Linked DNA regions of Drosophila melanogaster. Changing the gene in region 2 together with the main gene of any one other region gives a genetic interaction. Each region holds a gene or a part of one and is shown on either strand. Other genes may lie near its edges.

What was found.
Region 1: of Rtnl1 (region 2) and ReepB, changing one enhances a phenotype caused by changing the other (phenotypic enhancement), as found in Drosophila melanogaster (one study listed by BioGRID).
Region 3: of Rtnl1 (region 2) and Drp1, changing one suppresses a phenotype caused by changing the other (phenotypic suppression), as found in Drosophila melanogaster (one study listed by BioGRID).

Annotation. Positions count from the first base shown.
Region 1 is NT_033778.4:14,167,047-14,173,498, reverse strand, and holds ReepB (receptor expression enhancing protein B), read right to left. Parts: upstream 3,038-6,452; 5' UTR 2,919-3,037; coding exon 2,777-2,918; exon of another isoform or gene 2,582-2,776; intron 2,340-2,581; exon of another isoform or gene 2,136-2,339; coding exon of another isoform or gene 2,048-2,135; intron 1,711-2,047; exon of another isoform or gene 1,340-1,710; coding exon of another isoform or gene 1,273-1,339; intron 1,210-1,272; coding exon 977-1,209; intron 916-976; coding exon 816-915; intron 753-815; coding exon 691-752; 3' UTR 501-690; downstream 1-500. Other genes in the region: mRpS16 (mitochondrial ribosomal protein S16), read left to right, coding at 14-130, 196-468; CG18324 (uncharacterized protein), read right to left, coding at 3,390-3,929, 3,977-4,112, 4,396-4,643; CG18327 (uncharacterized protein), read right to left, coding at 5,305-5,835, 5,945-6,080, 6,160-6,407.
Region 2 is NT_033779.5:5,004,979-5,013,049, forward strand, and holds the start of Rtnl1 (Reticulon-like1), read right to left. Parts: upstream 4,743-8,071; 5' UTR 4,398-4,742; coding exon 3,203-4,397; intron 1,588-3,202; exon of another isoform or gene 1,406-1,587; intron 1-1,405. Other genes in the region: CG31917 (uncharacterized protein), read right to left, coding at 4,999-5,454; Tfb5 (transcription factor B5), read right to left, coding at 5,509-5,695, 5,754-5,788; SelT (selenoprotein T), read left to right, coding at 6,212-6,357, 6,434-6,884; vkg (viking), read right to left, coding at 7,533-8,071.
Region 3 is NT_033779.5:2,580,781-2,588,725, forward strand, and holds Drp1 (dynamin related protein 1), read right to left. Parts: upstream 4,651-7,945; 5' UTR 4,492-4,650; coding exon 4,390-4,491; intron 3,622-4,389; coding exon 3,477-3,621; intron 3,419-3,476; coding exon 2,754-3,418; intron 2,539-2,753; coding exon 2,087-2,538; intron 2,032-2,086; coding exon 1,686-2,031; intron 1,623-1,685; coding exon 1,394-1,622; intron 1,330-1,393; coding exon 1,118-1,329; intron 1,059-1,117; coding exon 1,002-1,058; 3' UTR 501-1,001; downstream 1-500. Other genes in the region: Arpc5 (Actin-related protein 2/3 complex, subunit 5), read left to right, coding at 1-106.

The DNA of each region.
Region 1 (6,452 bases), on a different chromosome or scaffold from region 2:
ATAAAATATCGGGATGTCTCTATCGCCAGCCAGTGGCATTGGTCGTTTCTACGCCAAGTCGGCAAAAATCATACGTTTCGTACGCCTGGGATGCACCAATCGGCCTTTTTATCACATTGTCGTCATGGAGGTGCGTACTTTTAGGCCATTAAAATGGTTAAAACTTTTAATTGGTAATTGTATTTTCCGGTTTAGAGGCGCAAGAACCAGCACCAGCCTGTCATCGAGCAGGTGGGCTCCTTTGATCCCCTGCCCAACGATTACAACGAACGACTGGTGGCCCTGAACACGGAGAGAATTCGCTATTGGCTGGGCAAAGGTGCACACTTGTCCACGCCGGCTGCAGAACTCCTGGGAATTGCCGGACTACTGCCCATCCACCCGCGCACCTACATGACCGCCTGGCGGAACCGGAGGACAGCTGCTGAAGCGGAGGCGTCGCCAGAAAAGGCGGAATCAACCGCATAAATATAGTTGTGCCTCAATAAAAGCCTCCTTTTCGTTTTTACGTTTAACAAACGGAGATTTCTTCTGGTTCAGCGAACACTGGTGCTCTTATCAACAACAAAATGAATACAGAATTAAAATTTATTGCAAAACGTAACCAATACGAGGTGAGGTTGGTGACCAGGCCCAAAACCAAATGCATGGATAAGCGAGAAGCGGTCGGAGCTACGGTACATTCGCCTTCTAGTCATGCTTCAGCACTCCAGCGGCTTTCTTCATGCCATCATCGATGATCCTGTCAACGGCTGTGTGCAAATATTGATCTCCTTTTAGTAAAATTGCAATATCTAAGAGGTGAATTTACTCACATTCGTGATGTTTCAGGAAGTAGGGTCGCACCAGCTTGTTGTAGATGATGGTAGAACCATTCTGTTCCGTGGGCAGCATGCACCAGATGAGGAAAGCACACTACATGTGGAGTTGAAGCATTTAAAAGAAGATTCTTATATGTGAAGAATGCAAAGCTCACCTTCAGCAGCCAGTAAAAGGGAATCACCGAAGTTAGCAGACTCGAAAAGAATTCAATCACGGTGAAGATTCCAAACGTGACCCAGTAGATCAGCCACTTGGTGTCGTCCTGCTTTGTGCTGGACTCGATGGCATGGATGGAAATATATGCAGGGTACAGAACCCCAATGATGTTGCACAGTAGTTGGGCGCCCCAGCCAAAGATCAGGTAGATGGCGCACAGACCAACAGCACCTACATATGATGAAATATAATACCTTATTAGTAAATAGCATTAAGTCACTGCTGGAGCTCTACCGTAGCGCAGGAGGGGGTTCTCTACGAACAGTTGGACAATTTTGCTCTCTAATTCCTCGACTGCCATGTTCGCCATCTAGTTGGTCAATTGATATTGCCCTAGTGGCGCATTTTCCCTTATGGCTATAAGCAGGTCCAAGGGCAGGAGCGGTTCCACAGGGCGCAGGGTGATCAGATGGAGTTAACACTTACAAACTTTAGCTACAAGACTAACTGTTCCAAGGGCACAGTGCCAGGTGCTCGTACAGCTTTCAAGGGCGCCCCTTCGTGGATCCCTGGGGTTTTTAAACCGCCCCATGCCGTTGGCTAATTATAAACCCTTAGCTGTTGTCAGTAGATGTCTCGACCTGCCTCTGATCCCGGCCAGTTGCATTTTGCCCACCCAGATGAGCGGACTACGGCCTGTTGTTTTGCCATAAATTTATGATGTCATTCATGCTCGATGGCGGCTAATTATATTTATACCCTGGCTGAGGGTACTTTAATTTGAGCAACATCATTGCAAAAAGGTGGGTTTCATTACAAGCCACAGAAACTATATCCTTAGTCGATCAGATCATTTGATGTGAATTGCGAATTCTCCATAAATGGTTGTTCCCTAATATGCATATATTTGTTTACACAATTTGTTTTGATTATTAAAGTATGCCGAACTGTTGAACAGCTAATGAGGCCAAATGTTTGTATGATGAATCAACGTCCGTCATTTTTGCAAGTGTATATAGACTTCGGTTTTGAAAGATAGCTACTTTTGCCATTATGACCACATTCTCACCTATGCCGAGGTAAACCAAGGGAACTCTGACATTGCGCCGCGTCTCCTGTCGCTGTCTGATTAGCATAATATAGTCCCAGAGCCACATCGGTAACTCCGGTGAGCACCGAACGAACGAACTGAAAGCTCTACCAACGCACACAGGTGAGTGAGTAGATTGGCTCCACGTGTGCCGACAGCGCCACGTCTCAATAATTCAGACCTTTTGACCCCGCCGAACTGGACTTTCTCCAGATCTTCGTCTAGAGAATATGGCAATGGAATGCGCCAAATGTATTGCTCACCGCGTACTGGGCAAAAAAAAGTGTACTTTCGTTGAAGTAAACAAAGAAAAGCACAAAACATGAAACTTTTGTGGATAACAGACGCACACATCGCCAGCTGTCTACGTAGTCGCTTACACGCACACATCGCATGCTCACAAACTGAGGTGTATTGGTTGCAGGCACTCGGTGATAATATAGACACACTATTTAATTGGGCTTTGCCGTTTAAGTCGTCTGTTTAATTCGTTAATTGGTCACCTGGCGGCTATTAAGCCCCCCCGACCATCCTGATTCAGCCACATACACATTGCTATATATAACAGGTTGCTATTTATAAGCATCCCGAAATATTCCACTGCATCTCTAGGCTAATCTCAATGGTTACGCAGTCAACTAGCAGAAGGTTACATGGGCGTTTCGGCGAAGGACATGCGATGACGTCGCCAGGATATTCCACACTCACCCACGAAAATATTGACCCGGTCCACGCCGGTCTTCTCCTCCACGGTATCGAAGACTTTGGTCCACGGCTTGGAAGCATCGCGCAGCGATTTGCTCACGTCATCCTTGTAGCCGTTTAAGAACTGCTTCACCTGAGTGGCCATTTTGCGCAAATTGTTTTTAAATATATATAGTCAATCAAAAATATGTGACGCCGCCGACTTTCCAGATGCCAGTCGATAGTTTGTGCTTGCGCCTATCGGTGCCAAATGGACTATTGACAATCGAAGACATGATGCGTTATTGTTCGCATCTATCGCCGCCTATCGATAAGGAGAGGTCATACTAAAATTGCAATACTGGCGGCTTTTTCTTTTTCACAGTAAATATTTGCAAACAGCAAATAATTATTTTAAGCTTTTATTAGAAAGGTAAATATGTTATGCAGCAAATTACATAAGAAAAAAAACTTATAGCAGTTGACGTGCATTCAATGGTAAACTCATGGGATCATTTTTGATGAACAATTTTATTATTTATAAAATTATAAATTTTAGGATTGTCACATCGTGGGACTTAACAATTGTATGCGAGGATTTACAGTAATCTAGTTGGCTCCATGAGGACTGGACTCTTCAGTTTCTGCGCTGGGAGAAAACATAACGATCTCGCAAATGGAGCAACTTTTCAAAAAACACAAATGTCAAGGTGGTGTGTGGAGCACTACGAAAGTATATGGGCCAAAAGCCCTTGTACATCCCATGGATCCCTTCGGTTCTCCAGATTTTAGTGAAACAGTCCACCAAGCCCTTGTACATGAGTCCACGCCCCTTTTCATCCACTGGCTGGTTGTACATCCGTGTGGTGAGCACATCAAAGGGCGAATTGGCCACTGCCACAAGGGTTCCCGACGATAGGCCGGCACAGAAGGAGAGGAGAACCGGATGGGTGATCCAGCCTTTATCCTTCAGAAGGGACTTGGCTTTGGGAAAGGTGCCGATCTGTACACTGGAGGCCACAAGCGTTCGGTTCAAGCTTGGTAAAGCAGCGCGCCAGAATCCTGAAATGCCATTGGTCCGGTAAATATGCAGCAGGGCATCCATCATCGAAGTATGCTTGTGCTGAAAGCCTACGGCAATGGACTGAACCGCCTGGGCATGCTGTTGGGCCTTTATCTGTAATGGAGGGAGATCAGATGGGAAGCTCTAGCGGATCTACTCACCATGTAGAAGGGGCTGGCGAAATAGGTGCCCGTGCAGCCGCCCAGAGCTCCAAAGAACATGCCCCGATAGAAGGATATGGAGCCATCCGCATTCTGCAAGTATCCCAGCTCCAATGCGTTCGAATATACACTTAGCCTACCATAAGGAAAGGGTATTTACACTGCAATTTGCTTAGGGTAACTATTTTCAATGATGAACGTAACGACTTATCTTAAATGTCCATTACTTCACAGTGTTAGATAAGATAAGCATGCATTTCACATTAATTCATGGTGCTTGTAATTACACTACTTAGCATTGCATAATTTTACGGCCACTTTTATATAAACTTTGTTTAAATCTACCTCTAATATTCGTATAAAGTTCAAAGATTTTGATGTTTATGGATGGCAACAAGTGTCCTTTACAATGCACTTGCCTGACCGAGTTGAGGACAAATTGATAACATAATGCCGGAGCGAGACCCTTCTCCAAAGCAAGGAGTCCGTCGTTGAGGACTATCTGCAGCATGGCCTGGGGGAGATGCCTGTAGGGCTTCACATAGGTTCCTCGGGCAGCCAACTCTCCCTGCAGCTGCATCCGCGTCTTGACCACATCGATGGGATTGGTGAACACCACCGCACCCATCGCTGCCGTTCCGCCCAGCACGAAATCCGACTTGGTCATGTTTTCACCCCAAACTTTGGATTTGGTTGATCTTACGTTAACATTTTGTTTACTCTTTGGTCGACAGACCGATTGTTACATTTATCGAATTAATGGCATACATTTTAATGCTTTAATGATTTAAATGCTCACTTGGCGGAATAATTTAAATATTTGAACTCTTGTATTTGGTGTTTAAAAATTAAAATTCGCTTAAGAAAGAAATTAGTATTTGTAATTAATGAATTTTTTATTCAAAAATATTGGTAAAATTCTTATTGAATTATTAATTAGTGACCAAAACAAATAAATCACTTTGAGAAAAGGTCATAATACATTTATTATTGCTTGTTAAATATCAACATTAATTTATCGATAGTTACACGTATGGATATCGATAATTTCGCGGACGGTTAAGAATGGATTATAAGGACTTTACTTAACCACGCTCGTAGCCAAAGAATAAAATATAAATAAATACATTTTTATTTTCTCTTTTAACTTGTTTAAATCTTTACTTACCCTCTTCAGAGGATCAAATTGAAATTGTTATTTTGATGAAATATCCGGGAAACGGATATGCTACTAGAACGTAACTTCCAAATACTAAGCTAACGAAAGTAAAACAACTTCGTATGGTTTTGCATTTCAAAGAGCCCCGCTCGTGTTAAATAATTTTCGTTTAGTAGTGAAGATCGTACTTTTCCCTCAGCGCAATTAGTTCGTCAAAGAACAAAAGCACCAACGTGGAATATGGAGCACTCCTCAGATAAATGGGCCAAAAGCCCTTGTACAACCCATATACACCCTCCGATCTTAGGATCGTAAGCACACAATCCAACCAGCCCCTGTAGTAAATGCCACGACCTTGGGCATCAACTCCCTGATTGTAAAGACGAGTGGTAACCACATCCAATGGAGTGATTGCCAGCGAGACAAATGACCCAGCGGCTAAGCCAGAGCAAAAGGACAGGATTGTGGGATGAGTTACCACTCCGTTTTCCTTCAACAAACTCTTGGCCTGGCCAAAAACTGCGATTTGAACGGCGGACGCAACAGTGGCACGGCTCACATTCGCCAACGATCCTCGCCAGAGTCCAAAGACGCCGTTCTTCCTGTATATCTTCCTAATCGCATCGCTCATCGAGGCGTGCTGATGCTGATAACCAACGGCGATCTGCTTGGCTGCCTGTGCCTGAAGTTGCGTCTTGATCTAGAATGGAAATGTAGCTATCAGTGATGCCTTATCTTATCACGGCTAGACATTGTCACATATTCGCGGAAGCAGACACCTTCAGTGTTTGATTTACATAATCGCTTACCAGGAAGAAGGGACTGGCACAATAGGAACCCACAACGCCGCCCAAAGCGCCCCAGAACATGCCCTTTGCGAATGAGATCTCGCCCTTGTTGTTGTGGACCCAACCCTTCTCTACGGCATGGGTGTATATGCTCAATCTAGAGCAGATAGAGAGATAGAGCACATATGTATATTTTTGGAAAACTCCTTGTAGGATAACAAACAGCTTTAACCTACCGAAACGAGTTTATTACAAACTGGAAGCATAGCGCTGGAGCCAATCCTTTTTGCAAGCCAAGAATTCCATCGTTTTTGGCCACAGTCACAAAGGCCTGGAAGACACTCTTGTAAGGCTGAGCATGAGATCCTCGGGCGGCCAGCTCTCCCTGTAGTTGAATGCGAGTTTTGATCACCTCGACGGGATTGGTGAAGACACCAGCGCCCATGGCAGCCACGCCGCCCAGCACAAAATCCGACGTAGCCATCAATGAGACGTCCGTTCTGTATCACAATCTAGTGATCACTAACGC
Region 2 (8,071 bases):
ATCCCCCCTGTAAAGGACAACCCTAGGCTCAGAGCGGCGGCGCCGAGAGAGAGAGAGGATGTCTAAACTGACCCCCGCTGCGCACACTACAAACTACAGTGGAGCTTCCTAACTTACTGACAAAGCGAGTCCCTGGAAGTGTTTTCTTCAAAAATGTATGCAAAAGAATTTTTTAAAAAGCTTAAAATCGTAAGAAATTGAGATCTTTTGTTATAAAAAGTTTTTGAATTAGTTTGTTTTGAGGATTTGATTAGTCTCTAGCATGTGTCCACTGTAATCGCCCGGCAGGGCTGAAGGCGGTGCGGATTCAATGAGAGGGCAGCCGCAAGTCTCGCCAAGTTGAGCAACCGTGCTTAGCCCTGAACTCGGTGGCTCGGCAGTAGCATTTGATGTGCCGCCGAGTTTGGGGAAAGCTCGCTAGCTGGGGGCCATCGATTTCACCTATTGCAGCTGACCCGCTGCTTGGTGAGCGGAGAGTTTTTCCGGGCGGAGACTTTTCTTGGCTTTCCGCGCAGCGCATGCGTTGGCTTCCGCAGGACTCTTGTTGTTTTCGTTCGACACCCAACGAGTGGGCCGGAAATTACCAGACGCTGCAACTTTTGGGTGCGGTGGGTGCAGATGCTGTTGCTATCGCCCGCACACAGCCCAACCGCCAGCTTGCCCTTTGACCCCGCCCTGCAGTTGCGTGCGGCGCGAGAATTAGATGGGAAATCAATCAAATGGGAATCGGAAAGCAACGCATTTTTCTGGCCATTGGTTGTCTGGGCAATCATTGCTATGTTTTGCTAAATTTTATACTTTTGGCCAACTTTCGACCAAGTTATGAGACAAATATTTGACGCATTCCACATGAGATGTGCTGTCAAAATGGCAAACTTCTTTGACGGTTTAGCACAGTTCTGTCCGAATGAAATCGATATGTTGGCAGGAGAATGAAATACGGAAGCATGTTTTCCGAAACAATTTCCCAGGGAAAATTATACCAAAGCTTTCGCACTACGTTCTTTGATACTGATAAATTTGACCTACTTTATAAGTAGGCGAAACCTGTGACAATATATGGAATTCCTTTGAAAAATCCTATACTATATAAAAACCTATACTGCGGTAAAAAGGTAAAATGCAACCAAAAATGATACATCGGTTTATTTTTCATCAAAAGAGAAAATCACTTATTCGAAATAATCCACATATATTGTCGAGAAGAGTAGCCTTGTCCATATTGGTTTTTAGGTTAAATTTGACCCACGCACCATAACTTTCTTAATATAGGCAACTCTCGTCTGGTTGGAAACATGTGTTCTTTTTGTGGCCCCAAAAAAAAGCGATTCCCCCACTTAATCGATCACTGGCCGCGTGGGAGATGCAATTAACCAAAAATAATTAAAAAAAAAAAAACACACACATTGTTTACTCGGCTCCACTCTTCGGATTTCCGCCTTTGTTTACCGATCAACACAACGCACAAGTAAAATTAAAATAAATTCTATATCTGCGGTCAGGATGGTATTGTTATATGTAGTTATAATACACAAATGTGTAAAGTTAAAATGTGACGATATCGCGGGAGCTGTCAGTGAACTACAGTTGATTGCAACTATGACCGTTGGCGATAATGGGGGTGCGATAAGGTGGATGCTAAACGAGAGGGGAAGATGCAATTGAGAAATCCGTTTCGGATGCGAGAGTCCAAAGCGAAATCAATGGCAAATTGAAAGACAAAAGCGCAGCGAAAGAACAAAAGAACAAGGCAAATATGTGCGCTACAGCTACAGCTGGTAGTGGAATAACAAAAATAGCCGCATAATCGCACTAAAAGGATGGATGCAACCCAGACTGGCAGACAGAGGCGTCAATGGAAATCACTAATTGGAAAATATTTTTCCGCAGTTGCTGGTCGCCTGCTGCATGCCGTGAAAAACTCGCATTCGCCGCGAGGGAGACGAGAATTGAATTATTCGCTGGCCAAATTAGCGCACTGTCGAAAGGTAGTAGAAATGGGAATGGAAACGTGAGATTGCCAAATAGTAGCAGAGATTACTACGCAACAATAAATTACTTTGCCGCAAATTGCTTTAATGGACACGAAGCTGAAACACAGAAAACACAAAAAAAAGAATCGCAATGAAATAAAGCGAAATATGATGAACGGACATGTGTACGTCAATGGTGGGTACACTCTATATATATATACATATACATATATTATATATAGACCAATATAGAGCTTTTGGAATGGAGAAGCTACTGAGCTACTGAGCAGCTGATTCACGCCGGTTAAGTATCTCGGTAATGGTGAAACCAGCTTCGAGAATGTTGCCCCCTTTTTCGTATCTACTATACCCGGCGTGATGAGTTGCCCAGTTGGGATTAGTTATGCAATTTACCTTCTTTTCACCTCTGTCTGCTCATCTAAGGTTTGCCTATCTGTTTTACGATTCACCTTCCTATCTATTTAATTGTTTCTGTTTGCTTTGTTGGAAACAATAAACGTTAGGAGCATCAAACGGTTAATAAATAATATCCATTTCATATTCATAATATATTTGATTATTCACTGTTTCTACCTGCAAATCATATTGCTTTTATAAAAGTAGTTTCTTGCAGTAAATTAGCGGGTTGCCTTTAGCGAACGATCCCTGTATTAAGCAGTCATATTTCTGTTCGTGGCATTCAAATGAGTGTGAATCACGCGGTGACGATCGATTGCGAAAAATCTATGAAAACTATGAGAAAGCCGGCAAACAATGCGGCTGCTGTTCAAATCGAGAATGATTAATGTCAAGGGAAATGGAAAAGGAAGAAGAAAAGTCGGCCTCCGAAGAGAGTATCTTCTAGGCTATTAAATTTCACCGCATTGCGATATAAAATTCACTTAATAAGAGAGCTCCGCAAAAAACGATGACTCATGAGCAGAGTTGGAGGAAAAAAACCATACAAAAAAAAAAAAAAAATAATAATAATAAGAGAGTGGCGAATGACTAACGCACAAAACAAAATTAAATAGAAGGGGCAGCAGGCGATGGGAAAGGGCGTGGGATGCAAGGTGCGCCGCAAGGACACTGGGAACAAACATCAAAATGGTATTCAAATTACGACGGTGTACTATAATACTCGAATGACGACGGGAACACAACAAATTAATTAGAAACGCAATGATAACTGGTGTTGACTAGTTGCTATTTGCAGTGGCTAGACTCACCCAATCCGTATTTGCAGAAGATCTCCTCGACGGACGCAATCTTTGGCTGCGGCTGGGTCGATTCAACTGGCGCCACTGGCACAACCTTCGGCTTGGCCGGCTCCACCTTGGGTTTGGGTGGCTCTGGTTTCGGCTCGACTACGGGTGCGGCGATGGTGGGTGCCTTCGGCGCCTCCTGGACAGTGGGTTTGAACACCACCTCCTCGTCATCCAGGTCGGTTATCAAAGCGGTTGTCACGGGTACAGCCACTGGAACCGGCTGGGGTTTGGCAACTGGTACTGATACTGGTACTGCCACTGGAGCAGGAGCAACAGCTGGAGCAGCATCGAGAATGGGAGCTGGTGCGGGTGCTGGTGTGGGTGCTGAGCGTGGCTCCTCCTTAAAATCGCTGGCCAGATCTTCCGACGAGATGAACTTCTCGTTGTCCTGATCCTTGAGGGCATCTACAATGGGTTTCTTGGCCGGCGATGGTGTGTACGAGACGGACGGCGATTCAGTGTCGGAATCCTGGTTGGCCTTGGTCAATGGGGCGACAGGAGCTGCTGGGGCAGCAGTGGTTGGCTTGCCCAGGAAGTCATCCTCCTCGTCGTCATAGAAATTGGCCGTGGACGGTGCCGTTGGCTGGAAGGCCTGGAGTGGTGCCGATGGCTGGTCAGTGAAGCTGCCCAGGAGGTCCTCCTCGACAGGAAGCGGAGCTGGGACAGCAGGAGCTGGCGCCACTGGAGCTGGAACGGCCGGAGCATGATCGGGAACAGCTGGAGCTTGTGCTGGAATAACCGGAGCTTGAGCTACCGTCTCTGAGAATGGAGCCAGGGGAGCGGAGAAGCCCCGCTCGGCATTCATAAAGTCGGTGGTCAGTCCACTGATGCCCTGCTTCACCTCCTTGCCAGCGTCGCGCAGAAAGTCCTCGAAATCATCAGTCTTCTGTGCAAACTTGGTGTCCAAATCGAGTTTGGCATCCTTAGCGTCGGCGGCCAGGCGTTGGACAAACTCCTGCGCATCGCCAAAGTCCAACTTCTTTTGCTCGTTGGCGAAGTAGTGCTCCGTGTGGGCATTATCGTCCTGGGCACCACCACTCACATTGCCAGTATCGCCACCAAGTGCAGAGTCTTCGTAGGCACGTTGCGCCTGCTTGAAGATGTCCTCGTTGGTGGCAGCGGCCTCCTTTTTCAGTTCGTCGAAGTTCCGATCCATATTCTACAGTGTTTTGATTTCAAAATATAACACTTGTGATCAATAAGAAATTTTCACAGATGTGTTTGAATATCCTGGCCTTCTGATTGGAACTTCGCACACACACACACGTACGCACGCACACGACACACCCACACACACACGCACAGGCACCGAGCTACAGCTGATTTTGCCGGTTGAAATTAATATGATTTTTTTTAGCCGACTTAAGTGCCTTCTGGTGACTAAAAGGCCGCAATTCGCAGTGTTTTGTGCTCGGGAACGTTGAATTTAATTTGAACCACAGCGACTCTTTTACAGGCGCCGTCGATGCAGACGTTTGAAAAGTTTCAATGGACCTGCGCTAGAGGTGGCACAGCGGTCGATACTATCGATGACGCTCACAGCATAATTGCCTAAAAATGGACAAATACCTTGAACAGCCATGTTTCGAACCAAAGTTTTGATGTTGCCGGCATCTTTAGCCATGACATTAACCCAATGGCTCTGGCAAATTGGCTAAAATTCACGACAGCTAAAATTTGTTGTATGTATTTCCAGAAACTTCGCGCAATTCAGTTATGCCTAATGTTTGATTTATTTGTAAACATAACAACCATGCTCAGGCCGTCCACTTGAGGCAGCGCGTGTCCTGGTGCGTTTGCAGGCATCTAACGCAACAGTATCGCGTTCCGCAGGCGGTGCACGAGTACAACGAGAAGTTGCCGCAAACGGCGCAGAAATGCCGCAGTGGCTTTTGTGGAGCCGGCGCTGCGGCGCTCTCGTAGTTGGGCTGCTTGTCCTTGTCCTCCTCGAGCAGTTGCTGGAAGTTCTTGCGATACTTGACGAGAAAGTATTCGGCGCCCTTGCGCTTGCCTTTCTTCTCCTTGCCGGTCTTCAGGCTGTCCTGGAATTTGGGCAACTTCTTGGACATGACAAGGTCGGCGTGTGGGTCATCGTGGTAGTTGTCCTGCTCCAGAGCCTCCAAGGCTTTGCGGGCACGCCGCTGGCGGGCTGTGGAGTCCAGGACACGCTTCTTTTCAGCGTCCTTGATGCGGTTGGATTCGCGACCCGTCATGGTTGTTTTTAGGTTTTTACTTTTGGCTATTGGATTTTATGGGTTGTGTAGGTTCTAAGCGTCCTTGTCGTGCAGCGGAAAGCTTATCCGATCCATCAAGTCGTCCACTCGCGCCTGCAAAACTTCCACAATGTCCGTGGAGATAAACAAATGGTTCTCGTCCAGATCCTGGATAATGAATTTGCGTCCCAGAGCCAGTTTTTCGTCCAAGTGCAGCAGGAATTGTTTCATAGCAGGATCACTGCGGGGATTGGGTTGAATATAGCGAAACCAACGCATACCAAACGTATACCACTTACCACTCCACCAGCACTCCTTTCATAACATTTACCATGTTGCCAGCATTTGTTTGCCGAAATTAATAAACAATCTCACCAATTCTCAGAGCTGAATGACATATTCACAGTGAAACGTAGGCTAGAGGTGGCAGTCTTTACTATCGATATTTTTTTGACTTTACTTGATAATTTAATCAATAATTTCAGCATGGCAATATAATATTTACAATCAACGAAATATAACACATTGCTTTAAACCAGCACCCGATATTAACTATATTATGTTAGTTTCACCGTCGGAAGTTTCGTACTTTAAGAAATATAGCTATTTTGCCAGCCCTATCAGTGCTACTCACTACGAAAAGTAGACAGAAGTAGCGGGGTATTTGCCAGTCACACGGACAAACACCAAGGCAAAAGTGTGAGGAAATATTGAATTCCAAATTAAATTCCTAATTAAATCAGACCATAAGCACGCAATGGAAAGGCTGACCGGAAGGAATGTGGCACTACTGGTGCTGTGCCTGTGCGCCGGATACGCCCTGGTGTTCGCCGAGGGCGAGAAGGAGATACCGGTTACCAAATTCGGACAGAACATAGCGCCGACGATGACTTTCCTTTACTGGTGCGTTATATGCGGGGCAATTAACATAATTGATAACAATGACCTCTGTGTTTCTCACCATTGATTCGCCAAATAGCTACTCCTGCGGCTATCGCAAGGCGTTCGAGGACTACGTGGGCCTGCTGGGCGAGAAGTATCCGCAAATTCAGGTGAATGGCGGCAACTACGATCCGCCGGGTCTAAACTATTACCTCTCCAAGATGATATTCGCCCTGAAGATCATAATCATTGTGTCCGTGGTCAGTGCGGTCAGTCCGTTCACCTTCCTTGGCCTGAACACGCCCAGTTGGTGGAGCCACATGCAGGCTAACAAGATATACGCCTGCATGATGATCTTCTTCCTGGGCAACATGCTCGAGGCCCAGCTCATCTCGTCCGGCGCTTTCGAGATAACACTAAACGATGTGCCTGTGTGGTCGAAACTGCAGACGGGACGCTTTCCCTCGCCGGAGGTACTCTTTCAAATCATCGACAACCATCTGCAGTTCACCGAAAAGGTGCAGGAGAATCCGGACTTTGTTAAATAATAGCATTGGACTGACTGGACGGACGGAGGAGCGCGGAAAACAGCAGTTGGACAACACCAAAACAGCCGCAGACATCGATTTCCGGCTCTGAACCTAACTTAAACATAAGCTCTTGTCCCGACATTATCCACTTAGCTGTATTTCTGTTTTCACCCCAACTATAGCCTACTCTACACATCCTAAACGCATCCAATCCGAACCGAACAAAATCGCATTTGATCGGATTTAGATGGGATATAAAGTTCGCTTTAATTTCAATCAAACGAAATTTCTTGTGCATTCGTTTTATGTGTTGTACATTTTATTTATCAAAAAACTGGGCTTTCTTTTTGGTTGTGTTACGTTTACAATAATCCCAACAGGGGCACAAGATTTACTTTCGTTGCAGTGGAGGCAGTGGTTACTCTTCTCGACCCCTCTTCCATAATTCCATAATTATATTTGGTATGTGGCATATGTGTCATATGGTTTTAGTTTTTGGTGTCCACGTAATTAGATTACATCTCCACGGAAAATGGCACTGTTCTGTGGTTAAAGTTTTGTTTGTTTGGTACTCGAGTTGGGGTTTGGATCGTTATCTCGTTTCCTGGATAGGATAGCAAATTACTTAAGACGTATATTTAACTGCTACTTAGTTCGAACTGCAATCTAGGGGGCGGTGGTGTCCTCGCGTGGGCGTCGGTTGTACTGGCGGGTATTGCCACCATGGCGAGCATACTCATCGTAGGCCTGCAGGTTGCTCGGGTGAACCCTTTGCTGGTACCTTCCGTTCAGATAGTTTGATGGGCCGCGACTGCGCGTGATCCAAGAGGAGCGCGTGGACCCGGCGTTAGATTCGGGATTGGAACCAGGACTGGAGCCCGTGGACCAGCTAGAGTACGATCCCGGATTGGAGACCGATCCTGCTACGGGTCCGGAATGCCAGCTGGATCCAGCATTGGTCCTCGATTGCCAGGCGGCGTTGGAGCCAGGATAAGCTCCGGCATTGGAGCCAGGATAAGCTCCGGCATTGGAGCCAGAATAAGCTCCGGCATTGGAGCCAGGATAAGCTCCGGCATTGGATCCAGATGACCAGGATCCGGAGCTGGAACCAGGACTGGACTGAGAGCCAGGACTGGAAGACCGGCCGGATTGCCAGTTTGCCCTGTAATTGCCATCTGTTTTCAAACTGCCCGAAGGATTACTCG
Region 3 (7,945 bases), 2.4 Mb from region 2:
CTCGGAGGGCTCCAGTGGCCACCTGCTGCAGTGGCATGAGAAGGCCTTCGCCAAGGGAGGAGTGGGCTGCATTGTCCGCGTGCTGTCCGACACAAATCGCGCCTAGAGGAGATCAGCACAGCCAAAGGCGGTCATAGAGTCACTACCCCAACTGTTCCCTGCCCCATAAACCGATTCATACGCATCGCGGAGCATTTAATCAACACAGGATTGGAGCACTGGACACCACATCCTTATCTTCGGGATTTGCCACGCCCCAGCTGGAACCCACTTCTGTTTCTTCGCCGCAATACAAATGACGTTTTCCAAATTAGATTTTAACTGGTATCCAAGTATTAAAGTTTTTATTACGAAAGGTGAGTGGCAGTGATTTCAATCAGGGGAACGAACGTACTTCTAGTTCACTCAAGCCACACCTACATGTAACATAATTTGTAAGAAAAATTTTGTTTTTAGTAAGGCTAAGCAATTGCTACGCATCTCAAAACTCAGGAAGATTCAACTCCTATCAGATTTAAACACTTATTAATCTTCAGACTGAGCCTAGCAACTTTACGAACATAATGGCTTATCTAATCGAAATTCCAGGTGTATCATTCAACATGATGACGTTGCCTTCGTAAACTTTTAGCTGCCGTGACAGAAAACACATCTACTATGTTTGAATCAACCTTTTCTGCTTTATTTGACTATTCAATGTGTAATAAGTGCTTTGAGTAACCTAATCAAACCAATCACGGCGTCTACAACTTCTTATTAATTTAAAAAGCGGAGAGGCTCGATGATAGACAAATGCCAGGCGAATAGAAATGCGAGTTGGCTAAATGAAAGGCCCAGAATTTGGGGGTCGCATGCAATTTGATGATATTTCAGTGCTCGGTAGGGGGAACATTTAACAAAGGAGTTCGTTCTCTTTGAACGCGTCTTCAATAAATAGTTTTTATGTTGCTTATATGCGGGGATTATTAAGTCGAAACGGGTTGCTCCAATCGCTGACCAGCCTACCACATGTGGGTCTCGCGGATTTCGCTGATGATGTGATTCGCTCGCGTCAGTGCCTGAAATCAAAAGTAAGTTTAAAACGATGTCAAGCTAAGTATAAGCTAGCCAAGCGCACCTTCAGCATATCTGCCGCCTCTTTTCGGCGCACTGCAATGTGATCGGACTCGTTGAGCAGGGTTTCAGCCTTATCCGACTTATACAGATGTGTAACCAATTCGCTCTGCAAGTTGTCCTTAACGTAGTTAACCAAGAAATGCATGATGGCCTTTGGAACCGAGTCTTGTATGGATTTGCGCACAATGTAGAAATACGATTTGATCAGGTGTTCTAAAAACAAAAAGTAGTCAGATTGAGTTAGGTCTTTAAGTGGCCCGAGTTAAGTGCAACCCACCGATGACATCGCAATCCTTCTGCTCCTTGTCAGTGAGGCGACGTGGATTGTGGTTGGCCGGCACATCGGGCAGCAGATTGACCGGCTTCACTGGACTCACGATGTTATTGTGAACCGGAGTGTTGTTGGTCGAGTTCTCAATGCTGTCCGGACGCGTTGGTGCCGGCGGTAAAATGTTTGACAGCCATGTGCTGGCCATCGAAGGCGTCGAGTTCTCGGCGACGTGGTTCTAGAGAGCGAAACGAAAATGGGTTAAATAGGTTGCATACATAAATGAAGATTCCGCTGGCACCTGCTCATGCACTTGGCTATATTGCTGCTGTGAGGAATTCGGCTGCGGCGGCTGTTGCTGCTGCGGCTGCTGTGAACCAGCACTGTGCGACGAAATCTGAGGCGACATGTGGTTTCGCGGTGTATTGGCCCGCCGCTGCCCCAGATTTATCTGTGAGTAGGGATCGCTGTCCGTTTTCAGCAGACTGGGCACCAAAGCGGCATCCTTGTGGAAGTCGGGGTGCTTGGTGTTGATGTAGGCCAGCTCGATGGCCACAATGTTCTCCACCATCACGTTGGTGTGCGGCAGACGTCGACGCAGCAGCTGGGTGACCACGTCCACAATCTTCTCGTGCAGTTTGGGAAAGCTGTAGGGGAGATCGATGAAAACCTTTGGCGTTCAGCTATCATGAGTTCACATACCGCAGCATCTCCTGCTGCACTTCGTTGCCACAATGCTGAACAATGCGCTGCATCTCCTCGTGAATGAGTTCCACGCAGCGCAAGGAGGGTTCCTCCAGGCGGCGAATCTGGCGCTTCACTAGCAGTTCGAACGAGACCTCCGGAACGAACAAAGCCGGGCGTGGACCAGTGGCATTCCGGATGGCTGTCAGTATGTCCATCTTGCTCAGACCCGCCAGCGGGTGAATGGAGTCCAGGGTGCGGCCGAAGGTCTCGTGGAAAATGTAGCCCATCCGGGCACCGCCGCACAGTTCCGTGGTCTCGATATTCCTGGCCGTGCCCTCGATTGTGCAGCAGTAGGCGCTGGAGAACTTCGTGATGATCTGCAGCAGGGTCTGGCTCTTGTCGGAGACATCCTCGCCATAGGAGTTCAGCAGCGATTGGAATTGCGTGGCCATGATGTTGACGCGAGTCTGCAAGAATATGGGAAGTCATTCTCTTGAATTCAACATGCTATTCTAACCTTATCTGCCATTAATCTTCTCTTGCTTTACCATAGAAAAATATAAAGATCGATTATAATCGAGTGCCAAGTTTGTTTCATTTTTTTACATTTTCTTGAAGTTTTAGCCTGAGATTCTCGCATAGTTTGTGAAATCGATATGCAGTCTTTATAGACTAGACTCACCTTAAGATCTGGCAGGCAGTCCCGGATGTGGTGCATCAGGAGCCGGTTGAGGGTCTTGGCCAAGTAGGGCGTGCCGTTCCGGGTGGCCAGAGTGGGATACTTGCGCTGCAGGAAGGCGGCCTCGTCCTTCATCTGATCGTCGATGTGCTTTTGGTCCATGATGTCCTTCTGCGAGCGATTCATAACGCCGATGATGCCCAGCTTGACGGGAATGACCCGGCCGCACAGGATGTCGATGGCATCGGTGCCGGCATCCATGAGATCCAGTTTCGTGACCACGGCCAGAGTGCGCCGGCCATCGGGGTCCACGTCCTTGGCCAGCTTGAGTGCCTCACTGGTGGCCATGTCCGTGTTGGCGGCCGTCACAGCCAAAATGATGGAGTTCGGGTTCTCAATGTACTTGAGGACCAATTCTTTGATCTGCGCCTCGATATCCTCCGGCTGATCGCCCACCGGGACCTTGGTGATGCCGGGCAGATCCACCAGCGTTAGGTTGACCACGTGCGTTGAGAATATCTTCAGGTTGATGGGCTCCGGGCAGATGCCCTTGTTGCTGCCCGCCGCCCGCTCCGTTTCGTTTTCGATCTCCTTGCGGATCTCGTCAAAGTCCGTGAAGCACTTCTTGGTGTGCAGGAAGCGGCCCCACTCCTCGGCATTGGACGTACCTAAGTGTTATGTGGTTTAGCAATTGGGTTTTCCCGAACTTCTGACGTCTCAACTCACCATTTTCCGCCGAGCGATTCTCGCGATCATCGAGTGGGCTGTAGATCAGCTGGAGCACCAGTGGGCGACGGGTCACAATACCAGTTCCACGGGGCAGAAAGGATCGTCCCACAACGCTCTCGATCACCGAACTCTTGCCGGAGCTCTGGAAAAAAGGGGAAATGTATGTATTACTGGGAGTTAAAACGACGGCTGATAAAAGACGATGACCTGATAAGGTGGCTCCCAAGCGTTTGCAGCGAGGAAACACTTGGAAAACCGCAGATTAACTATTCTTATCTGGCAATGGGAGCCATTCTGTGATTGCAAATTTCTCAAACTTAAGCCTTTGCAACAGAAAACCAAATGAATGGTAAGAAATGGCACAGATTCAACATATTGGAGCTCCGCTGTACTCGGTATCAATGAGTTGCGCGAGCATTTAGTCATACTGACTTAATTCCAGAGCGTGAATCAAAGTGCAATTAAGCCAGCGATCGAAACATGCACACATATATGTACATACAGACACAACTATCGAAGTCACACATGTGTACGTTTGTTTTTTGCAGTGTGTTCGTGGGGGAATGTGTCACATCAGCCAGCAGCTGTTTTTTTTTTCGTTTTTGTATAATACTGTGGCATATTGATTTTCCATGGCGGCGGCGAGCAGTGCCAAAAATAATTATATAAACAATGGGGACGCCGCGAAGAGCGAAAGCTGGCTGAAATGTTGCTACAAACTGAAAACACAACTAAAATGCCGGCAAACGCACTCAGTTATATAATTTTGCGGTCACTGGAAAAGCGCAAGAGTTGGGGTTTCAGATAGCTGCGCCATATTCCGGTTCTCAGTTGCCACTCCTTTTACGGAGCTCGGGGATTTATGGTTTTCGGTGTGCGGATTTTTGGGCACCTCGCAGTTTGCATTTACCTGACTGCCTAGAACAACAATTTGGGGCAATTGGATGGAGTCGGAGCCCACGGTGTTGAAGACGTCCTGCAGCTTGTTTATGACCGGAATTAGGGCCTCCATTCTGAGTGTGTGTGTGTGCTGGGTTCCTTTGGTCGCGTTCCACTCGGCTGGCGATTAATTCGCGCACATAAAGGCCGTTCTTTTCGGCTTTTTCTGATTGACGCGAGCACCGAAATTATTTTTGCAAACCGCCAGTGTTGCACAGCAAATTTAGACTGTTTTTCTAGCGGTGTTGCCACACGGGCGGAACTTGCTGCTATCGGCAGTCCCTAGACGAGGTTGCCACCGTGCGCGAGAGTGCTGCCAATCTATTCCAAAAGGGCAGCTTTCTGTGCGCGCCAAAATTGAATTTTTGGGTGTTTCCAATTTTGCCCGTTAGTTGCGTGTATTGAATACTTTACACAAATAAAGAAAGGTATGATTTCATAACATTACTTAAAATCCCCCAATAGCTACAAAATATGAATGTCCTTTTCTTTTTGTTTTGTTTCATATTTTGCCTTTTTACTTATTTTATATGCACATGAGGAGTTTGTATTGATATGGACCAAACAAAAGGGGTCCTTACAAACCAATCTGAAAACTCACACACCACAATCTAAATCTGGCAGAATCTCAATATATTCATCGTATCTAACTAAATTGAAAAACTACACAGAGTAGGCGCATTTCTGAATACCCTTACAGACATAACAGTGAAAATGAATATATAGCATAAATATATTGTCTTTGATTTTGTCTAATTTCTGCAGAAATAAAGGACTATTTAAACGAAGAAATATTAAAGTTGGAGCAGCCGCCAAGTGGTCAGACCACGTGGCCCAAAATAGGGAAAAGGAATAATCTGGGGACCGGCCTCAAGTGCTCGAGATTTGCATGGGCGGTTGGGATGGGGACTTCCCCGGTTTTATATAAGAATTGCAGGGCAGTGAGCTGTGCCCCAAAACCAAAAAGGGGGCTACCCGACTATTTCTCGACCACACTCGATTGCCTGCCTGGCATGCATTGTGGGCGAAATGCCGGGCTCATCTGTCGTTTTTATCGGTTTATTTCAATGTTCGAGGATGCTTGTCGCCCGGTACACTAAGCATTCAAATTTCGATAGTGGCCTGGCCCAAATGGACCAGAATATTGGACGTACATATGTATGTACCACATCCATGTGCATAGAAGCCCCCACTCACGTATGCATCATGTGTCCTATTTGATAACAGTTCCCATTGTTGTTTGGCCAGCTCCTCCTGGCTGCTCCCAATTGAAAATGACAATGAAAATTGTTACAAGTTGGCTGATATCATTTTGCAATGCTCGCTTATCTCTTTAATGGCTTCCAAGCGATTTGAATATGCTTGGGATGATTTAAGATGACTTATTATTTACAATCCCATTGAAGTATCGAATTGTTTGAGTTTATTGTTCCGATCGCAGGATGGTAATATCGATTATAAGTAGTTTCAAAATTTAATCATTCCACTTCAAAATTAGTTACGCCATCCATGAAACTTTGATCATTCAAGTTTGGGATACTGACTAATCTCATTTCTTGCCCCATTATTATACATTCTGGCATTTTTCGAACTGCAAGTGGGCTTCTTTAGCATTTTCATAGATAAACTTTCGGCTTCCAATTAACAAATTTGGCTGGCAACTTTGCCAGCACACCTCTGCTGTATCTGTGTGTTTGAGTGTGTATAAATATTTCAAAATTTCCCCCATCAAATTGGCATTGTTGGACCGGGGAACTTTCGTATCTCTGGCTTGACAACTTGCCGAAATGTGCGGCGTGGAAAACTTCTTGAGTTTGAGTTGACAGTTATTGCGAAAGACGGGCGGGGGTGATGGTGATGGGGCACGCCCCCTTCTCGGGGCCGGAATATTAATTTGATAATTTCACGGCTGAATGCAAATTCGGTGTCAGGGTCCTTGGCTCTCTAATTGACTGACGAATACTTAAAATATGAATTTCAAATGAAGTTCAGCCATTGTCTGCTTTCTGGCTTTCTTTTGCCGCTTTTCGACTTGGCGCGATTAATTATGGAGTGATGATGATGATGATGGTGATGATGATGGTGTAGTTGAAGCTGGAGCAGCCTCTGCCCTCCGGTGGAGCATTAATCATGTGAAAGTAATTTTGCACATTTGCATGCGTTGCACAAAGCGATAATTTTCATCCATCATTTTCAAGTGTTTCCGCAGGATTATAGTGCTGCAAGGAGTCGCCAGCCTTTCGCTGTCATATCCTGCGTGTGTGCAGGATGGGTAGTCGCCTCATTATCCATCGCCATGTCGTCGTCAATTATTCTTGTTCTGCAGCCAGCCTGCAAGAACTTTGCATTTAGTTGATGAGCTTCTCTGCCCTGGTGGAAACCACGAAGTCCTCATGCTCCTCCTGCTCATCCTGCTCCTTTGGTGCTTTGCTCTTTTGTGCCTCGATGCCTTTGGTTTTCGGGACTCGGCTTTCATCTTTCGGCTGACTGCCAGTTGATCAATGGCTCTGCCCGTTTTCCATGGTGTTTCATGCAATTACGTATTTATATTGCGTATACGCCATGTGAATACGACGGATGGATGGAGAGCCCTTGAAGTAGGCGGCGTTACGGGGCGGAAACTTCTCCGTACGTTCTCGCCACAACTGCTGCAATAATGAACTTTGATTTTGCCCCTTTGCAATTCCCGGAATCATGAATGTTCCACAGCTTGTGGTCTGGCTGGAAAATGCGGAGCGCGAGCTGGGAAATATGCGATATAATTGCTGATTGATGCGGTTTGAAGGAGGTTGCTCTTTATGCTCTCGCACATTTTAATATAAAACTTGGTTGAAAGTATACAATACATTTTTATTCAATAACTGAATATATATGCATAATAATAAATTAGATATATCTCTTTTTTCATCATTACCATTACTAAACCCATTAAAGGACCATGAAGTGTGGCCATAACCGACTCTATCAAGTGGGTTGAATTATGAAGGCCATGTGTGCAGCCGCTTGGTTGGGTTTTTCGGTGCGCCCCGGATCTTGGCAGGATGTGGTTACCATTTAGCAGATGTCGCCGCTCTTGGCACCCAGCTCCTTGGCCATTAATCTGCCTGGGAACGCGGCTGCCAGATGCCTGCTGCCTTCTACTGCGGAAAGTGCGAAAGTATCGCACACATGTTTCCCTTATTTATATTTTGGCAATGCTCTGGCTGCATGTTTAATTGGATTTGCAGCTAAGCGGAATTAGAAGTGTGGGCGGAAAAGTGGGGAGCATTTGCATACTCCAGCTGTGGCGGAAAACCTCGACGGAAAGCCTCGAGACACTGGAAAAAAGGGGATGCAATTGAAGTAGATTGATATACCAAGGAACATAATATCATTCTTACGATCCATTTTTCATGGGCTTATTCTTTCAAGTAGTGCTTTAGCAAATATTAAAAACATATTTCTTGAATTTAAAATTCTTACCAATTATATTCAAATTGGCTGGGAAATCTTTCTTCGAGTGCTGCTGCGAGGCGACAACAAGCAAG